Rattus norvegicus: one gene and its partner. The protein of the gene in region 1 binds, or shares a complex with, the protein of each later gene. Links are inferred from orthologs where the notes say so. Each region holds a gene or a part of one and is shown on either strand. Other genes may lie near its edges. The genes, in order: Med16 and Med20.

What was found.
Region 2: Med16 (region 1) and Med20 share a complex: the UniProt entries of both Homo sapiens proteins name them as parts of the mediator complex. The link is inferred for Rattus norvegicus from reciprocal best matches to the Homo sapiens genes MED16 and MED20.

What each region holds. Positions count from the first base shown.
Region 1 is NC_086025.1:10,447,532-10,452,107, forward strand, and holds the start of Med16 (mediator of RNA polymerase II transcription subunit 16), read left to right. Parts: upstream 1-1,741; 5' UTR 1,742-1,796; coding exon 1,797-1,874; intron 1,875-2,056; exon of another isoform or gene 2,057-2,201; intron 2,202-2,640; exon of another isoform or gene 2,641-2,716; coding exon 2,717-2,882; intron 2,883-3,241; coding exon 3,242-3,349; intron 3,350-3,534; coding exon 3,535-3,704; intron 3,705-4,576. UniProt on the Homo sapiens protein: Component of the Mediator complex, a coactivator involved in the regulated transcription of nearly all RNA polymerase II-dependent genes.
Region 2 is NC_086027.1:20,873,253-20,877,058, reverse strand, and holds part of Med20 (mediator of RNA polymerase II transcription subunit 20), read left to right. Parts: intron 1-282; coding exon 283-437; intron 438-3,806. UniProt on the Homo sapiens protein: Component of the Mediator complex, a coactivator involved in the regulated transcription of nearly all RNA polymerase II-dependent genes.

The DNA of each region.
Region 1 (4,576 bases):
TCCTAATCAGTTTTAATGAACTTGGCATGTTTTCGGGTAGATTTGTTTTAATTTCTCTTTTGAAGCAGGGAGGCACAACCAAAACACCTAGCACCAGCCAGTAGTGGGCTCTTTTGTGACCCCTGCCTGACCCCTCCAGGTTTCAGCTCTGAAGAGGGTGGCTGGTCCTCTCTAGGACTCTGCTGACCTCCCCAGGGCACTTTTGTTTTGTGTGTGTGTGTGTGTGTGTGTTTGCGCGCGCGCGCGTGTGTGTGTGTGTGTTTGCGCGTGTGTGTGAGAGTGCGTGCGAGCACATGTATGCACGCCATGTGCCCGTGAACCTGGACAAGCTTCGTCCCAAGGGCTCATTTTATGCTTTCTTTTTTGGTGACGTGTGTATTATGTCCCCAGCTCCCTGCCTGCCTTTCAGACGGTCCCCTCTCCTCCTCCTCCCTTACACCAGGGGTCCAGGACTTCCAGCCAGAAGCCTCTGACCTTGTGTACCCTGTCCCCCTCCTCTGTCCCCTCTGCTGCCTGGCGTAGCTGTGGTCACGCAGAGTCCTCCCTTCCCCTTCCGTGTGACTCTTTGTGCTTGGGGAAAGGGACACTTTTAATAAAGCCTTGGTGCTCGGGCCTGCTGTGTGCTTATTTTTGGGGTTGGTGGGGTGGGAGAGATGAGACTAGGTCACTGAGGCTGGAGATCTGGACGTGGAGGAACCTCAAGTCTTGATGCGTTAGTTCATTTTACAACATGTAAAATGCATAAAGATGGGTGCCAGGCTGGGGTTTGGTGGGGAAAGCATTGGCTACCATGCTCAAAGCCCTGGTCCCATCTCCAATACCACATAAACCGTTACATGTGACCAATGGGTCAAGTGAGTTTCAGGCCAGCCTGGGCCATATGGGACAGACAAGTCTGATGTTGGACACCTTCAATCCCAGCACTCAGGAGCCAGAGGCTGATGGATATCTGAGTGCAAGGTCTACATAGCCAGGGCCACACAGTGACCCTGCCTCATACAAACAAAAGCCACTTGAGGGCCAACAAAATGGCTAAGCGGGTTAAGGTGCTTGCTGGCAAGTTCAGCAATCTGAGGAAGGAAAGAACTAATTCCGGGTCCTTTGACCTGCACTGTGGCAGGCATGTCACCCCCACCCCCCACCCCCACCCCCACCCCCACCCCCACCCCCACCCCCACCCCCACCCCCACCCCCACCCCCACCCCCAACGGTGTAAGTAAGTCCATGGCCAGGTGATGCACTTCTGACACCCCAGCAGGTAGAAGCTGTTACAGGAGAACCTCATCAGTGGGAGGCCAACCTGAGCTACAATGAGCCCTTCTGTCGAGAAACAAAATGGGAAAAACGTGTGCGGGCCTTCGTAGGACGTTATGCTGTATGCCAGTTATGCTGTATGCCAGTTCCTCTGAGAGGGCAAAATATGGAACGCTTCACGAATTTGCGTGTCATCCTTGCGCAGGGGCCATGCTAATCTTCTCTGTATCGTTCCAATTTTAGTATATGTGCTGCCGAAGCGAGCACGAACTACGGGCTTACCCAAGACATATTTATAGGCTCAAAATTGAGCTACTTCGCACTTAGGGTGAGTTTTCTCTGAAGGAATAGTATTTGTCCTGCTTATATAGTTAAGCCTTTCTATAAGATCTAGCCAATCATTCGAAAGAACAGATTATTTGTCTTTTATCGCACGTGTAGCCTCAATAATTACTAGGAAATTATTATATGCAAATTAACCGGGGCAGGGGCGTAGTCCGGTTCCCAGAAGTCTGTTCGAGGGGGCCGGCGCGGGCCGAGAAATGGCGGCGCCGGATCCCGGGCGTTGGGGCGAGTGTGGACCGCGGCCGCCCGGTCGGCTGGGCGCCCGGGGCGGACAGGTCAGTGCGGAGTGCGGGGTATGGGACTCCTGGCTGGTGCATTTCTGGCTTGGCCCGCGAGCGGAAGGCCGAGGGGCGGGGCCTGCGGGGTCAGAGGGCGGGCCTGGGAACAAAGCTTGCTGGGTAGAGGCCGGTGAGGGGGAGATGTGATTAGGTTCCCCGCTTAAGGTGAAGCCTGAGGCAACTAGGCTGGGGAGGGGGCGTGGTCCGAGGGGCTGAGACTCCCTGGGAGGGGCGTGGCCTGAGGTTCCGAAGTTGAGCGAAGGGGCGGAGCCTGAAGCAATAAGTCTGATAGAGAAGGCGGTGGGCTAAGGAGCGGAGCCTAAGGTGGGTCGGGGTTAGGGACTGAAGATCTGAGACTGATGCAGAGGGGTTGGTGACCTGATAGTCACAAACTGAAGAGAAGCGGGGGATGAATAAAGTTAGTAGTTTTGTTTGGAAGCAGAGCCTAGTGTGATTAGATAGTGTGGGTGGAGCTTAACGAGCTTGGGCGGGACGCGGTGAAGCACGTGTGTTAAGCCTCAGGTGGGCCTTGGATGTTAACTTATTGCGAGTGGGACTAATGGGCTGGGACGCGGCCTGAGCTACTAGGTTCCGGGGCAAGTCTCTGGAGTGTAGACTGAGGCCCAGACTGAAGTGGTAGGAGTGGGCCTGGTTGTGTGTGTGAGGGTGCTTAGCACTTGTAGGCTGAGCTCACAGCGATCTGGGTGGGTGATAGGTGGCCTAGGGAGGGGTGACCTCAGGTGGGGCATCATGGAATTTCTAGCAGGGCTCGAGCTGGAGAACATTCTAGACCCACTTTAGCCGGGAGCTGCTATAGAGCATGCCTCCCTTCTCCCCAGGAGCCAGGGACGGTGCTGGGTGCGGTGGGTATGATGGACCTAGCCTATGTGTGCGAATGGGAGAAGTGGGCCAAGAGCACGTACTGCCCGTCGCTGCCCCTGGCCTGCGCCTGGTCCTGCAGGAACCTCATTGCCTTCACCACAGACCTACGCAATGATGACCAGGGTAAGTGCTAGTTCTGTTTCCCTGACTGGGACCTGGGGATTGAGACCAAGTGGGTGGGCTGTGATTTCCTCATACAATGGGTCCCGATTTGGTAGGTTCATGGTGGCAGAGCCAGGCTCTCCATTGCCAGCTACAGGGTTTAGAGAGGCCTGGGAAAGCAAGGTGGGAGAAGAGACATCCACACTTTGGTCACCATCCTCCAAATCTAGTGATAGTGCCTCTGGAGAGACACTGGCTGCACTGGATACCCTGTGTAGGGATTAGCAGCATGGGGGAGGGGTGTTATAGGAGAGGGGCAATGGGGGTGGGAATCATGGGCACTGTGGACCACACTGACCTCAGTGTTCTCTTTCCTGCAGACCTCACACACATGATTCATATCCTTGACACAGAACATCCCTGGGAAGTGCACTCTGTCAGCTCTGGCCACAGTGAGGCCATCACCTGCCTGGAATGGGACCAGTCAGGTGAGGCCATGAGGTTTGCTCTCAATCCAAAGCCCAGGACAGCATATGCCACCTTCCTCAGTCATCAGTCCTAAGTCTGGAGCCTGGGGACAGCCACTGCCCACTGGGAGTCCAGAGTGGGGAGGGGACACCGAGCAGTTTACCTGCCCATCAGAAGGGCTCCTGACACAGCTCTTTCATCACAGGGTCCCGGCTCCTGTCTGCCGATGCTGACGGGCAGATCAAATGTTGGAGCATGGCTGACCACCTGGCCAACAGCTGGGAGAGCTCCGTGGGCAGCCAGGTGGAAGGGGACCCCATCGTGGCTCTGTCCTGGCTGCATAACGGGGTGAAACTGGCACTGCACGTAGAGAAGGTGAGTGTACCACTGGGGGACCAAGGGGTACATGGAACGGAACCAGGGGCTGGCATGTGCTGTGAGTACCTGTGGGTTACTGCTGTCCCCGAGAGCCTCTAACCCTGAGCCTCCCTTTCAGCTATGGCCCCTGGACAGGGAGTCTGTTTAACAGATGTCTGCGTCTGCAGTGCTGTCTTACAAACATCCTCAGACCCCAGAATCCTCCTGTCTGTCTATATTCTGGAGTTCAGCCACTTAGGAGCGGGGACAGAGTTGGACTCTAAGTCCTTTTCCCTTAGTAAGGGAGGGGAAGTGGCAGCCTGTGGGTCAGGAAGCACAACCAAAATTCAGTTCCATGATTGCTACAGGTTTTTGGAGCCTAACGGCTTTCACATTGCCTCTCATCCCCAATTCTAGTACTTAGGAGGCAGACAGCTCTCTCTGAGCTCAAGACCAGCCTGGTCTACATATCCAGGTCCAGGGCAGCCAGGGCTACACAGTGATACTTGTTCTCCAAATTTAATGTAAGGGCTAGAGAGGTAGGTGGCTCAGTGGTAGGAGTACCAGCTGCTCCTGCAGAGGACCTGGGTACATTCCCAGCCCCTCCATGGCGACTCACAGCCATCTGTAACTCCAGCTCCAAGGGACTCCGTGGGCATAAGCTCTTTGCAACCTAGTCCTCTAGCCCAGCAGAGGCAGCGGAAGAGAAAAGCTGTTAGGCTATGGGGGAAGTGGACCTGATGAGCAGTAGCTCTTTGAGGGTGAGCTAGCAGTGGTTCAGTCCCGCAGCAAACACCAAATAGGACTTAGCAGGCAGACACCAGGCACGAACCAGCAGCTGTAGTTCAATCCTGAAGAAAAACACCAGGAACCTCAGGAGCAGTTCTTGG
Region 2 (3,806 bases), on another chromosome or scaffold:
TAGAGTTATCACTTAAATGTTAACACATATGCCTTACACTTGGGGAGTGCTGGTGTGGGAAGCTCACTGCCCCAGGGTAAGACACTTGAGACCTGTGCTCTCTGCCTGTTAGAGGAACTCCTGGGCACTGCAGTAGGCCTCTTCCTTTCTCAGGTATGACGGTGGAGATCAGAGATGTCTAGAGTAACCCTGTCGATCTGTTACCTGTTGGGGAATTGAGTGGCTTAGCCAGGAGATATGTGTCTCCTCCGGACACTGCTGACTTGAGGTTCTGTTTTTCAGTGTGTCCCAGATGCCTGTGGCTGAGGGCAAGAGTGTCCAGCAGACAGTGGAGCTCCTCACCAAGAAATTGGAGATGCTTGGAGCAGAGAAACAAGGAACATTTTGTGTGGACTGTGAAACTTACCACACAGCTGCCTCCACCCTGGGCAGCCAAGGTCAGTAGATGGCTGTAAGCACATGGGTGGAACCTGGCTTAGAGTCCCTCCCATATTTATGTAAATGACATGTTGACTTTTCTGCCGAGGGTAGCAGTCTTGAACGAGGCAGGATGTGTTTGTGAGCTCATTCATTCTTGGTGGGTCTTTGACTATGGTGGTCAGTTTGCAGTTTGACCCTATTTGTGTGTGTGTGTGTGTGTGTGTGTGTGTGTGTGTGTGTGTGGACACGTACTTGTGCCCTTATATGTGGCTATATGCACAAAAGTATGGGTGCTTATGGAGGCTAGAGGTGTCCGATCCCCTGGAGCTGGAGTTACAGGTAGTTACCAGCTACCTGCTATGGGGAGCTGGGAAACTGAATTTGGGTTCGAGGCCAGCCTGGTCTAGAGACTGAGAACCTTTCTGAGGAAACAAAGATTGTACACAACAGGAAGCACTTCCTTCATTAAAGAATAGTGTTGGGGCTGAAGAGATAGCTCAGCAATTGAGAGCACTGGTTGGTCTTCCAGAAGGCCCGGGTTTGATTCCCAGCACCGACATGGCAGCTCACAGCCATTTGTGACTCTAGTTCTAGGGGATTCAATGCCCAGTGCCCACTATGGACCCCTGGTGTGCAGGTGGTGCACAGACATACATGAAAGCAAACCAGTTATACACATAAAAATAAAATATTAAAAATCAGTGTCCCAAGGGTTGTAGCTCAGTGGTAGAACACTTATGCAAGGCCTTGGGTTCAATCCCCAGCAATCCCCCTTCCTCCTCACAGTTCTTACCTGCTTTTGAAAAGTTTCAAGGCAGTGCAGCCTGATGTAGTATGATCCAGGTATGTAATTGCAGTGTGTAGCCCTGAGACAGAATAAGATCAGCTTCGAGGGCTGACATATTTCAAAGAGATGAATTGTCAAAGAGATGACAGGTGTGAATCGGCAGTGTGGACAGAAGGGATGGGAGCAGGAAGTTCAGTGTAGAGCCTGCTGGCAGCAGAGAGGCCAGCGCACTGCAGGGAAGGCACTGACCTGCTCCCCAATCCTCTTTCATTACCACACTTTTTACTTATATTTTATTGTGTTGTTTTTGAGACAGGTCTCACTCTGTAGCCCTGGCTCACTCTGGCTGTCCTGAAAGTCACTGTGTAGACCGGAGCAGCCTCACACTCACAGAGACCCGTCCGGAGTGCTGGAACAAGAGTGCGTCCTTGCTCCTGGCTTTGGTTTTATTTCTGTAGATGGTGCCTGTGGAGGTCAGAGGGGAACATAGGGTCCCTTGGAGCTGGCATTACAGGCACTTGTGGGCAGCGCAATGTGGCTGGTGGGTGCTGGGACCTGAACTCCATCTTCTGACAGAACAGGGAGTGAATGAGTGATCAGAGCCACTGAGCCATCTCACCAGCCCCTTGTTATGCCCCTTTGTTTGTTTCTTCCTTTTGGTTTTGTTTTTAGGACAGAGTTTCTCTGTGTACCCCCTGCTGTCCTGCAACTCTCTCTTTGTAGACTAGGCTGGCCTTGAACTCACAGAGGTCTGTCTGCCTTTGCCTCCCAAGTGCTGGGACTAAAGGTGTGTGCCACCACTGGCTGGCCCATGCTATGAGTGCCATCTTTCCTGCCCTGTCAGACAGACATTCTTCTGCATCCTCCTTCACGCCTGGTTTCTCCTTTCATCTTACGCTGACAACTTAGAGTTCTGGCCTTTCAGGTAATCACCCTTTAAAGTTTCATTTTGTAGGAGTTAGGTTTTTGTGAGAGATGTTTTGTGTAGCTCAGGCTAGTTTCGAACTCACCTTGAGTTTCTGATGCTCCTGCTCCCAGCTCTCTAGTGCTAGGATTATAGCCTACCACAGTCAGTTTATCTGGTGCTGGGGGTAGAACCCAGGTCTTTATGCGTGCTAGGCAGGGGCTGTCATCACCAGACCCTTTTTATTGATTTTGTGTTTATTTATGTGTATTACACATGTGCATGGTTGCTTTTGCCATGGCATGGGTATGGCGTTATAGATTCCAGCTTTCTGGAGTCTAAGCTCTCCTTTGCCCACGGGCCTCCCAGAGATCAGACCCAAGTCAGGCTTAGCAGCAGGCTCCTTTACCTGCTGCACTACCCCCTCATCACCTGCGCACGGATGGCGTTTGTTCTGTTTTGCTGTGGGTGTGAGAGCTTGTGCATGCCCACACCTGAAGGCTAGAAAAGGACATTGGATGTGTGATGGGTTCGCCTACGGCCCTCTGCCTGATTGACTGCCTTGAGGCAGGGTGTCTCACTGAACTGGAAACTTGCCATTTTGGATATCTGACTGGCCAGTGGACTGTTAGGGTCCACCCGCTTCTGTTCCCCAATGCTGGAATCATAGGCATATGTAGCTTCCAGGCTTTCTCCTGGGTTTGGGGGATTAGAATTTAGATCCTCACTGAGTTGTCTTCTCAGGGCCCGCTCCCATTTTTTAAAGTAGATGTCTGTTTATTTTTCTATATTTTTATTTCATATGTGTATGCATATATATATACCCTTATACGTGTGTATACAAATGTACCCTAACAAGGGAGTAGAGGTCAGAGGACAACTTGCAGAAGTTGAGGCTCTCTTTCCATCATATGGGTCCCAGAGATGGAACTTAGGTGGCCAGGCTTGGTGGCAAGAGCCTTAGCCTTACCTTGCCGGTCCTATTTTTTACTGTTTTCAGACAGGGTCTTATACAGCCCAGGCTGATCTCAGACTTGAGGCAGTTACACTGCGTGGGCCTTTGGAAAACTCTTGAGCTTCCATGCGGTGCTTCTTAGTTAGAGACCGGGTGTCCTTGGGAAGCTGTCCTCCATCCTCAACCTCAGTGTCCCCAGTGCTGGGTTACAGGCTTGCGCCGCCTTTGTCTTACATTGTAAGCTCCTGACTCTTTTTTTTTTTTTTTTTTTTTTAAGATTATATTCATTTGATGTATGTGAGTACACTGTCGCTGTCTTCAGACACACCAGAAGAGGGCATCAGATCCCATTACAGATGGTTGTGAGTCACTATGTGGGTGCTGGGAATTGAACTCAGGACCTCTGGAAGAGCAAGTAGTCAGTCCTCTTAACCTCTGGGTCATCTTTCCAGCCCCCTCCCCCCCCTTTTTTTAAAGAGTGTTCTTCTTTAAAAACATTTTTTTGGGTGCTTGCCACCAAGTCTGACAGCTTGAGTTTTATCCCAGAACCCACATAGTAGAAGGAGAAACAGACTTTCCCAAGTTCCTGCCTCTGAATCATATATGTGCTCCTGCTCCAAAACACAAATACGTGTGTGTGTGTGTGTGTGTGTGTGTGTGTGTGTTGTGTGTGTGTTGTGTGTGTGTATTATTTTTTTTTTTGGAAGGGTCTTTGGTGGGGGTAGGGAAATAGCTTAGTT